2 linked regions of the Neodiprion lecontei genome follow. Each later gene encodes a partner of the first gene's protein in a complex. Links are inferred from orthologs where the notes say so. Each region holds a gene or a part of one and is shown in the gene's direction. Other genes may lie near its edges.

Evidence for each region.
Region 2: eukaryotic translation initiation factor 3 subunit A (region 1) and eukaryotic translation initiation factor 3 subunit E share a complex: the UniProt entries of both Drosophila melanogaster proteins name them as parts of the eukaryotic translation initiation factor 3 (eIF-3) complex. The link is inferred for Neodiprion lecontei from reciprocal best matches to the Drosophila melanogaster genes eIF3a and eIF3e.

The regions. Positions count from the first base shown.
Region 1 is NC_060262.1:4,540,417-4,550,842, forward strand, and holds the start of eukaryotic translation initiation factor 3 subunit A, read left to right. Parts: upstream 1-4,571; 5' UTR 4,572-4,719; coding exon 4,720-4,768; intron 4,769-7,475; coding exon 7,476-10,199; intron 10,200-10,408; coding exon 10,409-10,426. Other genes in the region: mycosubtilin synthase subunit C, read left to right, coding at 1-45, 249-438, 523-880, 975-1,422, 1,538-1,675; putative DENN domain-containing protein 10 B, read right to left, coding at 2,463-2,734, 2,949-3,066, 3,157-3,591, 3,756-3,955, 4,343-4,382. UniProt on the Drosophila melanogaster protein: RNA-binding component of the eukaryotic translation initiation factor 3 (eIF-3) complex, which is involved in protein synthesis of a specialized repertoire of mRNAs and, together with other initiation factors, stimulates binding of mRNA and methionyl-tRNAi to the 40S ribosome.
Region 2 is NC_060266.1:21,378,296-21,389,346, reverse strand, and holds eukaryotic translation initiation factor 3 subunit E, read left to right. Parts: upstream 1-4,368; 5' UTR 4,369-4,485; coding exon 4,486-4,575; intron 4,576-4,676; coding exon 4,677-4,793; intron 4,794-4,923; coding exon 4,924-5,085; intron 5,086-5,345; coding exon 5,346-5,468; intron 5,469-5,574; coding exon 5,575-5,807; intron 5,808-5,981; coding exon 5,982-6,099; intron 6,100-6,164; coding exon 6,165-6,376; intron 6,377-6,465; coding exon 6,466-6,724; 3' UTR 6,725-6,729; intron 6,730-6,819; 3' UTR 6,820-7,513; downstream 7,514-11,051. Other genes in the region: probable RNA helicase armi, read right to left, coding at 7,714-8,055, 8,140-8,382, 8,443-9,650, 9,756-10,629, 10,707-11,051. UniProt on the Drosophila melanogaster protein: Component of the eukaryotic translation initiation factor 3 (eIF-3) complex, which is involved in protein synthesis of a specialized repertoire of mRNAs and, together with other initiation factors, stimulates binding of mRNA and methionyl-tRNAi to the 40S ribosome.

The DNA.
Region 1 (10,426 bases):
GACAAAGCGGTCGTTCTCTGTTTTAAACCCGGTGAACTTTCGCAGGTAAATGAGAGGCAAAGAACATGTGGAATAATGTTTGAATATTGAGAGATTACAAATCGCAGTCATTTTACCTCGACTTAAATTGTGATGCGTTGAATAAAGATGGTATCAACTCTGCAATTTTTTCAAATGTGGCGAATAGTGTGAATACCTTGATAGTTTTGACTTCCATTTACCACAACTAATTATCTGTCTTGTTACAGGCACTCATTTCGTTTGTGACGGCCAAAGACAACATACATATTTCCGGACTGCAGATCGAATCTTATCTGCACACCATTCTACCGCCTTACATGATACCGCAAGTGATAGTGATTGATTCCATTCCTCTATTGGTGAATGGAAAGACTGACAGACAGACACTGCTGATGCAATACGAATTGATGAGCAACAGTGAGTGAGAAACAATGATAAAATACAAGAAGCTAAATCCCTACTTTACTTTTTTCCAAACTTCTTCTTCATTTTATTTTGCAGAAGAGGAAATCGCCGTCGATTGCAACTACGAAAATGTCCCGCTGTCTCTTCTCCCTGCAGCTCAAGTCCTCTTTCCCACGGTAGCATCAGTGGTCGGACGTAGCGCTCGAGCAGCAGTGACCATCGACGCTAACTTTTACGAGCTGGGAGGAAACTCTCTGAATTCGATCTACACCGTTACCAGACTTCGCGACCAGGGCTACCAGATTGGAATAACTGACTTCATAAGCGCAAAGAACATGGGGGATATACTGCAGAGGATGAATGTCGACTCAGATTCCGACACCGATGGCTCTGCCAACGGAGAGCAGTACGTTTTTGAGGAGCTCAATAATTCCCACAAAGAAGACGTTGTCGAGTGAGTATACACTTCGATAGTATTGATCGAAAAGCTGCTTAACGATAGGATTCTTTTGGAATAAACCTTATCTTTGCTAACGTCTCAACTACAGGATGATCACGGACAGTTTTTACTCGAAAGCTGACCTGGAGAAGTGGTTGATGCCTGACATTACCAGAGAAGATTACTCAGATCTGATGCACAAGCTTTGGGATCCTCTGGTAGAGAAAGGATTAAGTTTCATAGTGAAATCCACGTCAGGCGAGGCGCTAAGCGTCGCGTTGAATTTCGACGCGAGAGACGAGCCTGAGGTTACGATAAATTCAAAACTGACAGTAATATTTGAGTTTTTGGAGTACCTTGAGGGGCCAATCCGAGAGGGACAGCTGCCCAAGGGGAAGGGACAAATTTTGCACTGTTTTATGATGGGAACCAACAGCAGTCTCACTTCAGCTGAGAATATCGCTCTTATGAGGGAGATGGAGGAACATGTGCTCAGAGTCGCCAGGCAGAAGGGCTTCGCTGGCATATTTACAACAAACACCAGCCCGCTCACACAGGTAATTGGCTTTCTCTGTATCTAGAAATTTTGGGAAAAACGTTATAAGAATGTCGAAAATAACATTTTTTTTTACTTGCCAAATATAAAACTAATTTATCAAGTCGTCTTTACAGCAACTGGGTACTGATATCTACAACTATGAAGTCTTACATGACTACCAAGTCAACAAATACATTGCGCCCGATGGTTCGATGCCGTTTGGAAACGCGCCAGACAGTCAAAGAGCAATCTGCTGTTGGAAAAGCGTTTAGCACTTTCTGGTCAACAGATTGGAAATTATTTGTAGTTGCTCATGTGATTAGTTTGACTGGTTAGTGATAGTGAAGATCTGTACAGAATTGTAAATAAGTATTCAACCCGACGAGGATATTACCAAATAGATATCATGCATGAAATAAATCGAAGGGCGCACACGAACTAGAAATTTTAATGTCTTTACATATTTATTTGTCTGTAAAATGAAGAAAACAACTGCTTTGCTCCTGTTTCCTCCAATCATTATTATAAGGTACCTGAAGTTCTTCTCACGAACGTTAAGCATGCCTCAGTGTGGAATAAATTTAAGTTACATCTGATACTCTTTAAATGTCTTTAGCCGATGAATACGTATTTGTTGCAAGTTTTAAAAGTAACATTCAACTGCTATAACGGAGAAATCTGTGCGAACCCCATAATCATTCATAATTATTTATGATTTAGGAAGTAGTTTTATTTGAATATATATTGATTAAGGTATTTAGCATTAAAAATCACAATGATTTACACTATTCATCTGTCAAATATTGTAAATGCACTTATCACTAGCACCTGCCTAAATAAATCGTAATTCATAATAATTTACGCAAGATCCTGTTTTTTTTTACCTTATCCCTGAGATTTTCAAGAAAATGAAAATCAAAGAGCCACGCATCCACGATTAACTACATAAATTAACAACTGAACAAGTGATGTAACATTCGCTCACCTTATTCCAATGGAAACCTCTACTTGTAAGAGGACTCGGAACAAAATAAGAACATATTTTGTGTGTGTAAGAGATCACAGCATGATTAGGTTTTCGGCGATTGCTAAATTGATGAGAAAGTTCTCGACTGCAGGGGCTAAGTTTTTCTCTTTAAACGTTTCGATGGATACCATTTTTCTACCTTCAGGCGTTGTTAAACTTGCCAACGATTTTAACTGATTCAAAAGATCTTGTGTTTTATCTGAGATCTCTGATGTTATTTGCACCTCTGAGTAAGATGGATTATCTCCGAGCTGGACCATGAACAAGGCTATTTCCTTGTGCGTCTTTGTCATCGTTAGACTTTCTGGAAAAAAAAAATCACATGGATGTTAAGGATTGCGTGTTTATGATATACTTGCGGTCAAGCGTTTCGTAAAATTTTTTCACGAAAAGGGAGTAAAGATATTGGATGAATAATCTGAAAAAAGTTGACGAGCGGTAAATCTTCTGTCTCGAAGAGTGGCTTGTACCAATACACTGTGAAAATGGTTATGCAAATTATAGCAATTTTGTAATACCTTTTGCGTGTGACGCAATAGTGATTTCTCTTGCAGGTAAATTCACGAGTAGATCGTAAAGCTCAGCCCGTGAAGCGACTAGACTATCCCTGCACCCTGCGATATACGAAGAATGACCCTGAAATATCCAAGCAAAGATATTTAATAATGGCCAATGTATGAGACAACAAACGGGCTAAATTTCAAAGTTCCATGAGGAGAAATAAACCTTAAGCTCCAGTATCTCATCTTTAACCAGGTCGACCCATGGAAATAAATATTCGGTAACATTTCTGTGTTTCATAAAAGCAGGGAAGGTCCGTATCCATCTAAGAAGCTGTTCAAGGCTGTGGTGGTAGACTATTATCCGTTTCTTCAGCAATATCGCTGTGTATATAAGAATTGTCTTCAGCTCAAAAGTCTTTATCAAGCCTCTGAGGTTGGTGCTGTTACTGGCAACTTTTCGATCGCTGTATTCATTGCAAACAAACGTTCCGTTATCTTGAGTTGCGCAAGAGCCTTTGGTGAATACGGATAAATAGAGCTGCAGCAACTCTGTTGGACTTCCAGTCCTACAGTACATTTTGCTCAAGACACGGCACAGTGCCTCGTATTTTGGTGGATTGAAATCTGTCGCGAATAAAACAAGCGCAAACTGTTTTACCTGTAGGAAATGAACGAAGAAATTATCTTTCACAGTTTCCCTAGAAATGCTGCGAAAAAATAGGGAAATTCTTTTTCTGATCACTCTAAGAGACAAGTAAATCAAAACTTTTAATCAAAATCAAAAATATTGAAATGACAATAGTAATTAACAAAATATCTTGCCCTGGGTAAATTATCGGAGTCGGAAACTTCGGTGCATTGAATATAGAACCAGGAGTTGTGAGAGTGTCTGGCATAGACGAAGGGTAAAATATCATTGTGCTCAGATTGTAGGGAAGATTTTCTGAGCACCAAAACTTTTTGCGATTCTGTAACGTCGGGGTAGTTCCAAGTCCACAGAACATCACCGTTGCAATCCTTTTCTGAAATTATTGACACCGTTTTTACTTTGGTCTGTCAATCAATATTTCCATTCGCAATTCGGCGCCGAAATCGAAACGTTATTCGAAATTACCACGCCGCTTCGACGCACAAACTCGCTAATGGCAGTAGAGTGAAGTTAGCCGCTGTTGGGTTCCATCTCTCTTACCGATGCGGTAGGTAATATACGTGAGGCAAAAAGCGGTGGACTTCACGTTACGGAAAATCCCGTGACCAACTAACCATTGAGCCAAAGTCAAAATACTGAGCTAAGAGCTCATGGGGCGAAATATACGATGCATATAGGGTGAATGCGTTAACGAATCGTTCGGCAACGATGCAAACGATGCAATTGGAAGTTTTTTTCGTAAATAATCGATCGAAATTACCGATTATGCCGCAGGAAAGCAGCTCCATTGCTGGCGCCATCTTGTTCCACGTGGGTACTACGTGAGTTGTTGAGGTTTTTTCACAGTCAGACAATATTATAGTACGACAAGTTTTATTACTGGAAATATATTTTTGTTAAATTTTCAAATTTAAAATCAGGAATTTCAGCCTGGAAAACGCGTTTACAACCGATTCACCATTTTTACATATAAACGGTCGTGATATTGAGCTTGTTCTTTCACCAGAACACGCGGTATCGTGTCCGTAGTTGGACGATTCGCGGAGGGAAAAACTCAAGGCGATCCCGGTCTTCCGAGTACTGAAAATTTTCACAACGTGTCTGATGTGAAACCAGTGATACTCGGCAACAAACAAGATGGCAAGATACGGGCAGCGACCCGAAAATGCTCTGAAAAGAGCCAACGGTGAGTCGCTTTTCTTTCGCTGACGTTTTTCAATATGGCAGGGTCGAGGGCCCCGGTTCTCATCAACCAAGGTTTTCACCCTCACGGCTCTTCGTATTCGGTATCTTTCCTTCGGTGAATCAGCGATCCTCGCGTGTTTTTCATCCCATGAAATTCCACCGGGTCCAAATCGCGGCAATGTCACCTGTCAGTACCTAAAACCGCCCTCTTTGATCTCCAATTCAATTCCTCTATTTTCCCTGTTTTCCGCTCTTCGTGTTGTCCGCCGTTACGTCACTGGCCGTATCATTTGCTTTAGGCATGCTTTCGGATCGCCAGAGATTATCCGAGTACCACATATTTTTAAACCCTCTTTTTCTGTTCTCAATTCCGCCCCGAAATGCTGCATGGCCACGATCCATACGGCGTCACCGGGGCGTGAAAAAAACATGTTAACCTAGTCCAAACTGCGTTTCACCCGCTCCAATTCGACGGCCAATTGCGTACAGACCGGTCATCGATTTTTCGGCTACAATGCATGAGCCACGTTTTACGACATTGAATTTAACAACCTTATCGTAACGAAACATTGGGGAAAAAATTACTGTTTTTTTAATTTTACTATGACTTTCAAGGAACTAAGATTTCGAAATATGAGAGTGTTTTGTTTTATTACGGTTTACTGAATTTCAAACAATTCCAAAATCACGAAATAACTGTTTTTCCCCAGCATGAATTTTCACTATAATGTTACTAACTTCACTAAGATCACGTTTTCACTTCATTGTCAATACCACGACATCGAACTTTGGCTGCTGCATAGTATAAAGATTTATTATTGTTATTATAATGAGTCTTATTGCAGGCAAAAATACAAGTATACAAATATACATTATACTACGATTAATCAAATATTGGTATACTATTGCATAAGTCCATTACGTTATGGCTGGAACAAACGAACGAAGAAAAATATATAAGACTAGACGCATCTCAAAAGTACCAAGATACTTGGGCGAGAGTGTCTTTACAGTAGGATTATAGCTGAATAAAAATTAATTTTTATGTGTGATTTGCACATTGGCTCTTGTTTTTAGTCCTTGATAAGTATATCGAACGACATAAGATATATTTTTGTGAAACTGTAAATAAGACAAAATTGTACAGTTGTATTAATTGAATCGAATTGACAACTTCACAATCGCACACTCAGAGTATAACAAGACGAAAATAAAATTTATTTAGTCATTTGGCAATTACGTACCTCGTGGAAATTACTAAATAAGTCTGTCTAATATTGAAGCCATCTAGGACTTTATATGTCTTTATCCCGTTGTTTCTTTAAAATAGTTTTGATGGTTATTTTGTTTATAAACTCTGGTGGTTTTATACATTTCTTGTAAGTTCCTTTCTGGGTTGAGATTCTATTACTCCAAATCGATAGAAACAAAGTCTTGTAAACGACTCGCGGATATTTTTTTTTCAGTCATGTAAATGTATCCCATCTAAAATTCCAGTGTAAAAGTCGGTCCCAGATATTTCAAACTATTAACTATTTCGATCTTTGTGTTCGGATTAATTTCGTCAAAGCGTAGTGTCAAATTTTTATCTGAACACACATTATCGACGTACTAATCAAAGTATATCATCTTAGTTTCATCGCATCACATTAATATTTGATTTAAGTTTTCTTTGACAGTTAAAGGGCAATTTTCCCGATTATCTCCTTTATACAACAATACTATATCATCGGCACAACCAACAATCCTAACCAGACATGGTAAAATGAAATTAAAAAACAACAGATGGTCCATAATTAATTACCTTAATATCGTTTGTGATGTCTACTTTTACTCTGTTTCCTATTAGTGAAATAGGATTTTAATATGTCATAAATTATGTCTTCTAGTTCAGCATCTTGTTCATTGTTGAAGGGTATATTGTGATTCAAAGAGTCGATGGCTTTGGATAGATCAACGAATATTCCCAAACATTTGTCAGAGTTATTAAGGGTTATTAACATACATACATAGTTGGTTACATCCATCGATGCCCCATCGGTAGAATTTTCTTTACGAAAACCATATTGCGAAGCAGGGAAAAATTTTTTTGAGTTTAAGAATCCGAAAATCCTTGTCCTCTGCCAGTGAACTTCCCACTTTTGCTAAAAATTCATTAACTTTATTAGCGATTTCTTCCTTCACTTTAGCAGTTCCGGTATAATCAAATTAGTCAGTCCAGCAATTATTTTTAGTAAGTTCCCATTTCTTTCTGAGGCTGCTGCCAACAACATCTCCAAGTTTCTTTCTTAAGTACAGGTTTTTACCTCTTTTCACTATGTTATTGACAAAGTTACATATCGGTAGAGTATCTGCTAGCTTTGTGATCCAAGCGATATCTAATCTTCGTTATTACAATGGTATCTTTATCAATTAAAGTCCATGGCTTTCTTGAGATTCGTTATATATTTGTCTAGGCAGGTCAGTAGCAGTTGTATGAATTCATTTATATTAAGGTTTTTTGTATTGCATGTAGAATGATTTCAGAACACTTGTTTTCTTCGTGATCTTAAGAAAAATACTATTCAAAAAAGAATCAGAGTGACAGATGAAAAAATGTTTCTCTACGCTTCTGCCAAAAAGCAATTGCCTATTTTAGAATACGCACAAATGTTGGCGTGCCGAGATAACGACACTAAAATTCGCAAATATTTTTTCCTTAAACACAGAGTTCATCGAGGTTGGAAAACCGGCGCGGGCACTAGACACCCTTCAGGAAGTGTTCCGGAACAAGAAATGGACGTACAATTGGTCGGAGTCGGTCCTGGAGCCGATAATGTTCAAGTACCTGGACCTCTGTGTGGAGTTGAAGAAATCTCACATAGCAAAGGAGGGTTTATTCCAGTACCGGAACATGTTCCAGTCCGTCAACGTCGGGAGTTTGGAAAATGTGATTCGCGGGTATTTGCGGATGGCCGAGGAGAAGACGGAGGCCGCGCGAAAGCAGAGTCAGCAGGCGGTCATCGACATTGATGATTTGGACAACCTTGCGACCCCGGAAAGTATATTGCTGTCTGCGGTTAGCGGTGAAGATGCGCAGGATCGCAGCGACAGAACAATCCTGACACCGTGGGTAAAATTTCTCTGGGAATCGTACTGCCAGTGTCTGGAATTACTGAGGACAAACGCTCATGTCGAGACACTCTACCACGACATCGCAAGGATGGCATTTCAGTTCTGCCTAGAGTATAACAGGAAGACGGAGTTCCGAAAGCTCTGTGAAAAGCTGCGCAAGCATCTGGAAGAAATCTGCAAGCTCCCGCCACTGGTTTCAAACGTCTCGATAAACAAAGCTGAGACTCAGCAGTTGAACTTGGAGACCCGTCTGAACCAGCTCGATTCCGCCATACAGATGGAGCTGTGGCAGGAGGCATACAAAGCCATCGAGGACATCCACGGGCTGATGAATCTATCTAAGAAACCTCCGGTACCCAAAACCATGGCCAATTACTACCAGAAGTTGGCTATGGTCTTCTGGAAGGCTGGTAATTACCTTTTCCATGCCGCCGCCCTTTTCAAACTCCTTCAACTCTCGAGGGAGATGAAAAAGAATATGTCGCTGGAAGAGCAGCAACGCATGGCGAACCGAGTTCTCCTCGCCACGTTGTCCATTCCTCTACCTTCGGCGCATCCAGAATTCGACCGTTTCATTGAAACGGACAAAAGTCCGCTGGAAAAGGCTCAGAGACTGGCGGTTCTGTTGGGTCTCACTCAGCCACCGACCCGGGTTTCGCTACTGAAGGACATCGTCAGGCTGAATGTTGTCAATCTGGCCTCACCGCACCTCCAGGACCTCTACTCGTGGCTCGAGGTGGAATTCCATCCGTTGGAATTGTGCACCCGTGTTGAGACCATCATTCAGAGCCTACAAGCCGATGAAAACAGCCCGTTGGTTCAGTACGTACCTGCACTACAGGACGTCACGTTGGTTCGTCTTGTTCGTCAGATATCGCAGGTCTACCAGACAGTTCAGTTTGCACGGCTGATCGAGCTCGCCAAGTTCACGACCGATTTTCACCTCGAGAGACTCCTCGTAGACTGCGTCAGGTACAACGATATGCAGATAAGGATCGACCACGGTAAGAAATGCATACATTTCGGGGTCGATCTCTCCGAAGCTCAGAGGGAGGATCATCCCGATGGGCCAGTTCTTCAAGCCATGCCTTCGGAGCAGATTCGGTGCCAGCTGGTAAATATGGCAACGGTTTTGCACCGTGCGGTGGCGGTAATTAATCCGAATAAGAAGAAGGTTGAGAGGGAGAAGCTAAGAACTCAGCTGGTGGCTCATTATCACGAGACGAAGGTGAAGGAACATCAGAGGATTCTTGGCCGACACAAGATCATCGAGGAGAGAAAGGAGTACATAGAACACATCAACAATGTCCGGGAGGAGGAGGAGATGAGGAGGCAAGAGGAACTCCAGCGGCAGCAGAAGCAGGTTGAGCAGAAACGACTGGAGCTTGAGAGGGAGGAGAGAGAGAAGAAACGATACCAGAGCGAAATGCAGCAGATCAAAGAGCGTCACCTCAAGGAAAGGATGCAGCAGATATCGCAGACAAAGCACGGGCAGAGAGTGCTCTCCAAGTTGGACGGTGACGAGAAGCTGGACGCGGAACAGATCGCGGTTCGCGAAGCGGAGGAACTTCAAAAGGAGCGTAGGGAAATGCAGCAGAAGCTCAAATCCCAGGAGAAGAAGGTCGACTATTTGGAACGAGCCAAACGACTCGAGGAAATTCCACTTTTGGAGAAGGCTGTCGAGGAGAAGAACGAACTCGCTAAACAGCAATGGGAACAGCAGGAGGCTGAGCGAATCGCGGCGGCGATCGAGGAGCGACAGCAGGCGGTAAAGACGCGTGAGCGCATGGCCAGGATGAAGGAGGACCACGACACGTTCTTGGAAAGGATTCTAGCCGAGCGTAGGAACATTTATCTTGAGAAGTTGAACAACTACGAGGTGATGATACGCGAGGAAAGAGCCAGGCGACTCCTTGAGAGGAAAATTGAACGCAAGGAGGAGCGCAGAATCAAGTGGGAGAGAGAGAGAGCCGAGGCTGCGGAGCGCAAACGACTCGAAGAACAGCGAGCCAGGGAAGAGGAGGAGAGAAAACAGCTTGAGGAACTGAGACTCCAGCGCGAGGAGGAGGAGAGAATATTGCGAGAAGAGGAGGAAGCCAAGGAGCAGGAACGGATGGCCAAGCTTGAGAGGCAGGCCGAAATACGAAGGGCACGAGAGGCAGAAATCGAGAGGAAACAGGAAGAGGACAGGGCCAAGTCGGCTGACACCTGGAGGCGTGGCGTAGACAGGGAAGTGCCGCGTGATCGCGATTTCAGGGATGGACCGCGGGATCGTGACATTAAGGAATCGACTCGTCTGGATGGACCACCGCGCCCATGTAAGTGTGATCGAAGAACTGGCAGAAAATTTGAAACAGTCTTCATCGTTCCACGATGTAGCGGTGTGTGATCTTTTTTGCGTATGGAACACCCTGTATACTTTTGCACTGTTTTTAAATCATGCGGTAGAATTCTGGGCCCGAATCTCTTTTAAACTACGTAAGGTTTTTAAATTTATTCAAACCTGATGGATTTTCTTCTTTTCTAGCCATGGATTCGTCCTGGC
Region 2 (11,051 bases), on another chromosome or scaffold:
AACGAGGTCAATTCGCAAAACAATTAACCACTAAACCAGATCTAAGCCTAAAAAATGAAAAGTTAATTTTTTAGTATAGTCAATAAAACTCAGTTAGCTGGAACAGATGAAAATATAATTAGTGACATATGTAGATATAGACAAAAATATAATTAACTTAGATAAGTAAAAAATATAAAGACAAATTAATTAGCTGAAACAGACAAAAAGATTGACGGGCTGAAACAGACAGAAGATTCGATTAGCTGAAACAGATAAAAGGTTTGATTAGCTAAAAGAGGCAGAATATTTGATTAGCTGAAACATACAAAAGGTTAGATAAGCTGAAATAGACAAAAAGATTGATTAGCTGAAAGAGGCAGTATATTTGATTAGCTGAAACAGACAAAAGGTTAGATAAGCTGAAACAGACAAAAAGATTGATTAGCTGAAAGAGGCAGAATATTTGATTAGCTGAAACAGACAAAAGGTTAGATAAGCTGAAACAGACAAAAAGATTGATTAGCTGAAAGAGGCAGAATATTTGATTAGCTGAAACAGACAAAAGGTTAGATAAGCTGAAACAGACAAAAAGATTGATTAGCTGAAAGAGACAGAAGATTCAGTTATCTGAAACAGGTAACAGGTTTGATTAGCTGAAACAGACAAAAATATGGATTAGCTGAAATAGACAGAAGGTTCGATTATCTGAAATAGATAAAAGGTTTCATTAGCTGAAACAGACAAAAGGTTTGATTAGCTGAAACAGACAAAGGTATGGTTAGCACAATCACATAAGTCCATATATTGCCAAAAAATGGGTCGAGCCCAACATGATATTCGCTTTAATATTCGTTGCTTCGATTATTAATTGTATTGAACAGACATTCTAAATTGTTTGAATTGACATCTCTTTCTGCTTTGATTTATTAAAGTGAATATCTTTTTTGACTGAACATTCTATAGTTCTCAGTGCATTTGTTAAAAAATTAGTTTTGTTACCCTGAAACAGAAAATAATACGATCAGTTAAACGAGTATTTCTGTACACTTCAGATATATTTCATAAATACTTACGCCAAGAATCTCCACTGTATAAGTCTACACTACCGAGATTTTTTTTTTCTGCGCGTTGAGCGTCGGCTTTCAAATGCTGCGCTTTATTTTATAACTGAAAGGTATCAAGTCCACGCGCAAAAGGCGCTGTGGAACTTGAAAAGTTTATTATTCATCAAAAAATTGACCAAAGAGCTGAAAGATCAGCACATCGGGAGTGTGTAACTTTTTTATATACTGTTTGCAAGCTCGACGCGCAAAAAGGCGCGTTGGATTTCCGTTCTTAGTTTACGCGCAAAAGGCTGCGTCTAATTCTCGGGATTAACCTACGCGCAATAAGGCGCGACAGGTTAAACTGTCAAAAATTTGTAATATCTGGGACTTGTCCCAAAAATTCTGTGGAAACCCAATCCACATCTGTATCTTTTTGCATTAGATACATTGCTATGCAGATTGTTGTTCTCAGATTAAAAATCGAATCGAAATTCGGAGAGAGGTTGGAGGGCATGCATTATTGTGTGGCGTGACGGTCGGTGGTCCTCTTCGACGCGAAGACTTCGAGCTCAGCATCTCTCCCCATCTAGCGTACCACGGAACGCGATAGATGGTCCAGAGATGCGTTTTGCCCATTCAGACGATCACAGAAATCAATTGAATGGAATAATGATCGGTAATGACCAAATAATTGAATTGAATAACAATTGAAAAATGGTTGCAGAGTGACAAGGAAATGTAAATTTAATCTTGTTAAAATTCACATGCTTAAAAATGGCCCAGAGACTCGAATACGGAGTCTTTGAGCAAAAAAATCTCTGTGATCGTTTGACGCTGTGAATTACAAAAGTTAGTAACATCACGGTACATCGCGACCTTCCTACCCTTACCCGTTTCCCAACGGAACCACCCAACGGAAAAGAGAGACTCACACACACATGCATAAGCCCCGCGACGGATCCCAAAACGTCCACCTACCTACCCGGTTACCTATATTCGATCTAAACGATTCTCCATTTTTTCCAACACACATCATTCTTCATCATTTGCGCCGTGGTCGCTGACTTACATTTTCGTTGGTTACCTGTTCGGAGCAAAATGTTTTTGTATCGTAGTCTGCTTACTCATCGTCAGAATGAAGTATCGCGGTTGTATCCCGCCAACCGTAAAATTGTATGTATTATCTTAGTAAATTTTGGCAGACTATCGGTACATCAACCTTTTGTAAGATGGATTAGAAACATCCTGTACGTTAATTCGTATTTTTCTAAACGAGCTAAACCTTCAATTGATCAATACTTGCTGGCCGTAAAAAAGTTACAAATGATTCGAGACATAACAGGCAGTTTGATTAAGTTACATTATGCCAGACTTTGGAATTTTATCAATCAAACAATCATATGAGTACGATTAACCAATACCTGGAATATATTCAAATCTCAGGTGATGCCACCGCTTAAACGACATCATCGGTAAATTCAAACGTAGATTATTACATCAGTTGCGAAACACAATTCGATCTCGCGAGTGCCGAGTAAGCGATGGTTACCTGTCGCGATGCTCATTCCACTTTTAGCAACGTGCAAAATTTCTAACTTCAATTAAGCTACGGTAAATTAAATTGCGAATAAAGAAATTATTCGACTGAAAGTCAAGCACGTTGCGATCGTGAATGAGCCTATCCATGCAGCTAAAAAATCGTAGATTTGTGTAACAGTTGTTACCGCCACGCCACGTGACAGAGGAATCCCAGGGAAATACCCGTAACCTGACACATGCAAACTCACCAACGTTGCCGAGCAATGGAGAAGTTACTCGGATGTCTCTGCTTAAATCTGGAATAAACAAAAAAGAAAACTCGAATTAATTTAGCAAGTTGGCTTTTCAGTTGTCAAATCAATTATTACTGGTGTCTACAACCATATTTATTGACAAGACTGAAGCCGTCAGCCAGAATTAACAGCCAAACGTTCTCGTGTTTATTCGCATAAGGTAGTGAAATCCGAAAATCAAAATTTTGTGAAATACCTCGAATCCCCGATACTTTTATATAATTATTAGGATAAAACAGTACCGCATTTTTCTATCTCCAAAAAATTTAACACATTTGACTACTAACATTGGGTGGTAGCTTCAGCTTAATTATTTATCGACTGTATGTTACGCAAGGACAAAATTTCGGCTTCGAATGTACATACATACCACCCTGAATTATCAAACAATGAATAAAAGAAGTATTGTTACCTCCTCTGGGCTGCTCCACACTTTACATGTTGTAGTTCTGGCAGCATCTCAGGCTGAACAGTGGAACACCGCACATTTTACACTGAAAACTTTATAAAGCTATAATCTAAGAATCTGCACCGTAATAACACTTGATTCTACATTCACTCTGACTTTCTGTGCTGTAGCTAGCTACCTGATCAATTGAATAGCGAAAACATGTCAACAGTGCAACTACGCATTTATCAGAAACAAGTGAACCGAAAATAAAAACAACACCGACCGACACAGAAAGAGAAGAATCGGTATCACTCGCTGAAGTTACACCAAACAATGAAAAATTGGGACACGAAATTCACCTTCAACGTTCGTAGAATGTATTTATTTCAATAACTCGGTTTTTCTTCAGGCTATGCACTGCTCCTCGTGTAATATTAAAAATGAGTATGGTGCGAGTACACTGATCGAACAACGTGACACAACCTGAACAACGCGGTCTGAATTTCGATCTGATACTGAGAGCACATAACTTCTCTCTGGTTGTTCGGAAGCAACTGATGCCGCACGGCGTTCAGAAGAAACGGATTTGAATCAGTTCTCTGCAGGACATATGATACCCCCCTTTGCGCTCTGTTTCTTTTCCCGTGAAGTGGGGGTAGCAGCTTGGCAGAGTGACAGAGAGGGGGGGGGGGGGGGAGAATTATTATCTTCTGTCCTTCAGAGAACCAATTTAAATCTGCTCATGAGACGCTTACGCCGTTGTTTACGCTCTATTTTATATATGCTCTCAATGGCCGGGTGAAAATACCACGTAAGCGACGCGCAATATGATCAAATGTTTACAGGATTTCCCTACATGCGAGGTCAGGTGTAAGTTTAAATTGTCTGACCACTTTCGGTCGAATGGAATACACCTAAAACAGATGTAAAATGAGAAAAAAAAATTGTGAACCTTATCCTTTTTCAATCCGTTAAAATTGGCCAATTGGTGCAGAGAATATTTTATTTTCAAAAAGTTTAATTTTACAAACGCTATTTGGCGGCATAAGCTGAAATTAGTCGAGGCCGAAAATGGGAGTCGTGTTTCCGATATTGAAACGCGTTAGTTTGTGCCTCTTTCCTTTTTTAGGGCATGCACAAGAGGTGCGTGATCCTCAATATTCCCGGTTTCTTCTCTGTGGTGTAAAGGTGCCGTTTAATATTCGCTACTATTATTTTGTTGATCAAAAATAATATGGCGAAGTTTGATCTGACGGCCCGAATAGGGCAATACCTTGATCGGCATCTGGTATTCCCGCTGTTGGAATTTCTATCTGCAAAGGAGGTGAGTGATTCTCTGCCAGCTTGATTGACTGTCATCAGGTTGTTGAGCATGGCGGTTTTTAGGTTATCGATGAATAACGCGACGTTGAATCGCCATTACAGATTTATGACGAGAATGAGCTTCTACAGGCGAAATTGGACATCCTGAGCAAAACCAACATGATCGATTACGCCATCGATATCAGGAAACAACTTTATCCGAATTTCGAAGTGCCGGAGGTAGGCGATTATGTCGACCAATGGTTCAGGTTTCGTTAATGATAATTAACAATCGAACCGTCGATAAGGATAAAATGCTTTCCATCTCCCATGGTTTGGTGAAAATTTTTAAGATTTAATATTTTTACAGGAACTTAACGAACGCCGTAATCGGGTATTGCAAGAGCTTGGTGATCTTGAAGATAATGCCTCAGTCATCTTGAAATTGATGAGCGATGATGATACTATGGAAACTATGGAAAAAATGAGGGACTCGAAGTCCCTCAACCACTTTCTCCTTAAGGAATCAGATGTAATTCTATATTTATATATTGTCTGAAGTATTGAGATATGTTTATCAATTTTTCACGTGTATGCAATAACAGCATACACTTCTTGAAGTATCGAAAGCATGAAATTTTTTTTTTTTTATCGAATGGGAATAATGAATTGTTGACGGCTTACAAGGAAGAAAAATATTGCTGGAGTTATCCTGAATTTAGGGTTTTGGATTTTTTAGAATTTATTGTTGTCTTATGTTCTAACACTTTAATGATGCGATAAAAATTACAGTTCAGAGTGGAGATGATGGAGAGCTTGGTCAAGTTGGCAAAGTATCGTTATGAGTGCGGAACCTACTCGGTTTCAACGTCGTACTTGTACTTCTACATGCTTGTGATGCCACCAACCGATAGAGTAAATATTCTTCAAATTTTATAGACTTATTTGCGCTAAGGTTACATAATAATTCATGGTGTCATGTGACTTACTTTTTTAAACGTGACTATTTTCTGTTCAACAGAACTACTTGGATGTCCTGTGGGGAAAATTGGCGTCAGAAATCTTAGTTCAAAATTGGGAAACCGCGCTGGAAGACGTTAATAAACTCAGAGAGTACATAGACAGTAACGCTATTGGCAACACTCTTCAGGTTCTTCAACAACGCACTTGGCTCATTCACTGGAGTCTGTTCGTTTTCTTCAATCATGTTAAAGGCAGGGACCTTATCATTGAAATGTTCTTGTACAGACCACAGTGAGTACAAACACTCCCGATTTTGTCTAAGAATAGAATTTACATTATATTGTTTATCGATTCGTTGATGAAGAAGATTTTTGACGCAATTTTGTTTCATCTTGTATAATTTTCCTACTCATTCGTCAATTCTGGTGTTGAGTGGGTGACAAAACAGAGCCTTTTGGATTACAGCTACTTGAACGCAATACAGACAATGTGTCCGCATATTCTACGCTATTTGGCAACAGCGGTAATCATAAATCGATCGAGGCGGTCTACCCTGAAAGATCTGGTGAAAGTTATCCAACAGGTAAATTCAGTTACGAAATCTTGATCTGCAGTGTTTGATAATTCCGGTATAATTTTCACGTTTAGGAATCCTACACGTATCGGGATCCAATCACTGAATTTTTGGAGCACCTGTATGTGAACTTTGATTTTGATGGAGCTCGTCAGAAACTGCAAGAATGTCAGACAGTCGTCTTCAATGACTTCTTCTTAATTGCTCTGCTGAATGAGTTTGTCGAAAACGCTAGATTAATGATATTCGAAACATTCTGCAGAATCCACCAATGCATCAGTATTGAGTAAGTATTGGCCTACTTTGTAGGACATTCTAATTTTGTAATTTTTCGTGGAGATGATTGGATGCCAGCTAATTTTTATGCTCTTTTAGTATGTTGGCTGAAAAACTTAATATGAAAGCTGATGTTGCGGAATGTTGGATAGTCAATCTAATTCGCAATGCAAGATTGGACGCAAAGATTGACAGTAAGCTGGGACATGTTGTTATGGGTGGACAGCCAGCTTCTCCGTACCAACAGCTGGTTGAAAAAATCGAGACTCTGAGCGTGCGAAGTGAAGCTCTGGAGAATCTTATTGAGCGGAAATTGAAGGCGAAAAATCAGGATTCAGTTAGCATAGTCTGGAATTAGCAAAGGTATGTATTGGTTCTTTCAGATGAGTTTAAACGTGCAAAAATACGATATGTTATAGAAAATGTTATTTGACCATGCTCTATTCATTTCAGGTTCTACAATGTATAAAGATTTCCACCATTTTAAACATTTTATAATCAGGATAACGATGTTCAGACGAAAAACGAAGAATTTTGTAACAAACTTCCACCGGATGTGTACCGTTTTTCTACAGTCATTTAAGATCACCATGTCAAGTCAATTTCGTTGTAAGCAGTACATACGTGAAATCAATAAACTGATTCTAATGAAAAGAATTCAATTTGACGATTAGCCCCTTGGTATTCGTACGGTTTATAGGAATAATCGAAAAATTATTTTCAAAATGATAAAAAATATTTCATATAAACTTAGAAAGAAATATAATTTGTCAAAATTTATTATTTCATATGCCAAAAATACAAAATATTCTTGTATAAAAAATGGTATCTCGCAGAAAGTAGACAAGAAAAAACGTTGTAACGAATAGACTTTTGGATTTATTAAATATAGTTAATATTTTTATTATCTGTAGTATGAAATTTATATCTTCATATTTGTTATTCTCATGAATACTAGTTTGAATACTTTGAAAGTTACGTTATCTCCTTATACGCCTGATGCATGAGAAAGATTAAAAAAAAAAAAAAAACCAGTAAATAATTAAAACATTCCCGTTGAGCTGGTCGGATGAAAAAGTCTCCAATTTTCGCAAAGCGGAACAGTCTTAAAACTTTTGACTTATCTCTGAATATTTAATCTCTAGTTCCAGTTGTTTGGAAGTAAAGTTCGATAAAAAAAAAACAATTTGAAAATTTATCGTTCACTTTAAAAAATTAAAAATTATATATTTAAATAGCACTATTGTAACTAACGTATCTAAATAACTTTTAGGAACATATTCTTTATCCTGTGTACAATAAATCATAGATGCAATGATTACAGTTAAAAAAAAATATTCATCAGCACTACTCATTGATAATCGCTGATGAAAAGAAATCACAGCCAGTGTAAGAATTCTTGTCAATACAATACGTAATCACTGTTCTCCAGTAAGGATCTTGTGATAATAAATGTGGATTTCCCAGAATAATTAATAGTGCCCGAGCCCTGGTAATAGCGACATTCAAACGGTGTGGAGAAGCGATAAAACCAAGACATCGTTTAACATCTTCTTGGACTAGATCGCTTATCGATCTGACTGCAGATAGAATAATAACATTTCGTTCTTGTCCTTGAAACTCTTCCACACTGCCAACTTTTGGCAATGTTGTATTCATCTCTGCAAGTAAATCCCGAATATGACGAGCCTGGAGAAAATATAAAAATGAAATAGAACCAAATTTTTGCACTCTGTATAATTAATCCGAAATTGAAACGTTTCAGAATCTTACTTGTTTAGTGTAAGGTGCTATAATCCCAATATCGTCAGGGCCAAGTCCGTGGCTGTAAAGTTTTAGTATATAAAAGTAAGCCTGAGCAGCTTCTTCCGGATTATACCAGCTTGGACTATCTTGATCCTGATAATTCTCGCCGAGAACGCCATGGAAAACTATCGCAGGTGGAAAATCGTCGCGTTCAGGTAAATCGTTAGCGACTGAAGTGAGCAGGTCACCTTCTTTTCCTTGCCTTGTAATCTAGAGATTTGACAAACGATCATTAATTATCATTCAACCAAGAGAGCTAAAGATTATTACCTGCGCCTCGAGCTCAGAATCATAGAATAACGAATTCGGAAGTGCGAGAATTTCCGGCAAGCTGCGATAGTTCATGATGAGTTTAGTAACTAGTCGTGGATCGTAGCCCCTCTCAAATCCTTCCAAGTCTCGTTGGTAAGGGAAGCGCTGAAGCAACCGAGACAGAAAAGACAACCCAAGTCCAAAATGCGATGCGTATTTACTTTGGACGACAGGTCCAAGCTGCATTGGGTCTCCAGCCAAAATTACATGCCCGGTATCGGCATGAATGAAATTTAATGGCACTAATATTTCCGGCTCTGTAGCTTGTCCAGCTTCGTCAACAAAAACGTGGGTGAAGTGACCTCGAGGAAAGCCCATGTTATGCAGTATGCCCAATGAGATGCAAGTACCGACTGTGATTCTGTGCCGTCCCAAAACACTTGCACTGCAGCTCGGTCTTATGCCGTTGGCATTGTGGTCAGGAGTATTTCGAGTTCCCTCTCGAGCCAAGTCACCTACAGCGCAATACGGGATTAGTTTCTGCGGAATTGACCCATCTGTGGTGCAGTGAAACCCTATCAATCTGACCAAATCGCCCGGTTTCAAAACTCCGCTGTCTAAAAGTCTTTCCGATATTAGATTGGCTGAACTATTCGAAGGCGTCGCAACCAACAGTCTGCTTTCGGGTATGGTCCTAAATATCTGCAATATCGTTTCGCAAAGAGTTATCGTTTTCCCTGTTCCTGGTGGCCCAAATATGACGTAAGGCAACGGGTGAGCTGGACTCTGCAAAACGTTACGCACAGCCTCTTTCTGGTAGTAATTCAACGCCCTGTTGAACCATACTAATTTGCGTTTTTTTATTTGTAAAACGCACGAATCAGTGTCTCCAGTCTTCGAACATGCCTGCGCATTCGGTTGCAGGCCTGGAGTAACATCATTTTGTCGTGCAAACGTACTGTTTCTGGATTCTCCATCGTCACTCATTTCCAAAAGTTCCAGTTGCGGTGGTTTGGGTACAATTTTTGTAGGAAATAAAAATTCTTTTCCCAGATGATTTATCGCCAAGTTAACGGCCGTGTGACAGCGACTCGACGGTGTTTGGGAGCACTTGAATGTCACTTCGCATCGTTCGCCGTTATATTTTTCATGGAAAGCTGGATTGAACTTGAGTAAAATCTCCGAGTTCTTTACCTCGTGAATGCATCCCTCGTACTTTATTTCACCTATGAAAAATAAGGATAAAAGCATCAGTTTCAATGACAAGAGTAGAAACTTCCTCTGTCAGGAGTCGACGAAGTTAAAAGTTGTGAGAACTGCTCATAATTCACCTTTGCTGGAGTCCCAATTGAAAGAAACTATGGCTTTGTCTCCGACTAAGAGCGATGGTCGTTTTTCCGCTAGTCCTGGCACTTCAAGGGCGAGAAATTCTCCGCAAAATCTCATGACTGTACTGCTTATGTCGTATCGTTGTAAAGCTATAGAATCAGCTATGCTTTCCAAGTACAACAGAGCATGAAATCGATCTCTGTAATTTTGAAACGTCAAATCTTCGAATAAGCAAGGCACGGTTTCTTCTATCGCCACAATGCCGCTCCGAAAAGGTATTTTATCATTTTCTAGGCGCAATACGACATCCCATAAGTGTTGAGGTATTTTGAATATTCCAGGCCTGACAGTAATGAACTTTGGTGCTTGACAGGTTCTAACGCCACGAACACAGGTCGATTGATCGAACTCGTTTTGCTTGTAAATTTTGTTTCCCCTTGGATTTTGACCGCTTTGCACGTTATGATTTACGGAGTTTTTCAAACTAACATTGAAGCGAAACATGCGATGGACTTTCAGATGTTTGAAGATGAACAGAAACATTTCTTCCGAATACCCGACAAATTTTGCATGGCATCTGAATACATATGTTATTGATTCCGAAGGCTGCAATACTGACGCAGTATCTATTTTTGGTCGCAACAAAGTCAATTGCGACATGGATTTTTTTGACAGAAAACATCCTTTGAGTAACGTCTGTGGGTGAAGTCCATTATTTTTTATCTCTATCGAAATATCTCTCATTTCAAGCAATTGCAAATCGAACATCAAATTATTTGTGACAACTATCCCATATTTTTCTTCTCCAAAAGTTTCTTGTTTTTCATTTACAGTTTCAGTTTGAGCCTGATTATTGAACAATTGTCTTTGCGACACCTAGAAAGGACATAAATGAACTTGTACAATTTTTCAGAGGACTTCAGTAATCTATTACACTCAGGAATTCATTTTACCTGATGCATTAGCGGAACGACCGACAATGACCTCCACGTCTGCATTCCTTGATCACTTTCGATGCTATCTGCGACAACTTTATCGCCGACACATGGAATATATCCAGGCTCGCAGTTGGCTTTGTTAAAAACGATGTTATGCTGTATGGTACCAGAACCAGACTTGACGTCATAGGCAGATACAACACCAGTGGCGAGTTTTGACCTTAGAGGAAAAATTTTGTCAACCTGAAGAACTTCCCCGCTGAAATCTACAACGTTGTCGTCAACTGCTACTATGGTTTGAAGTTTGACCCAATCCCCGACGATGGGCAAAAATTCAGAGGTGATTTCGTCAAGGCTGAA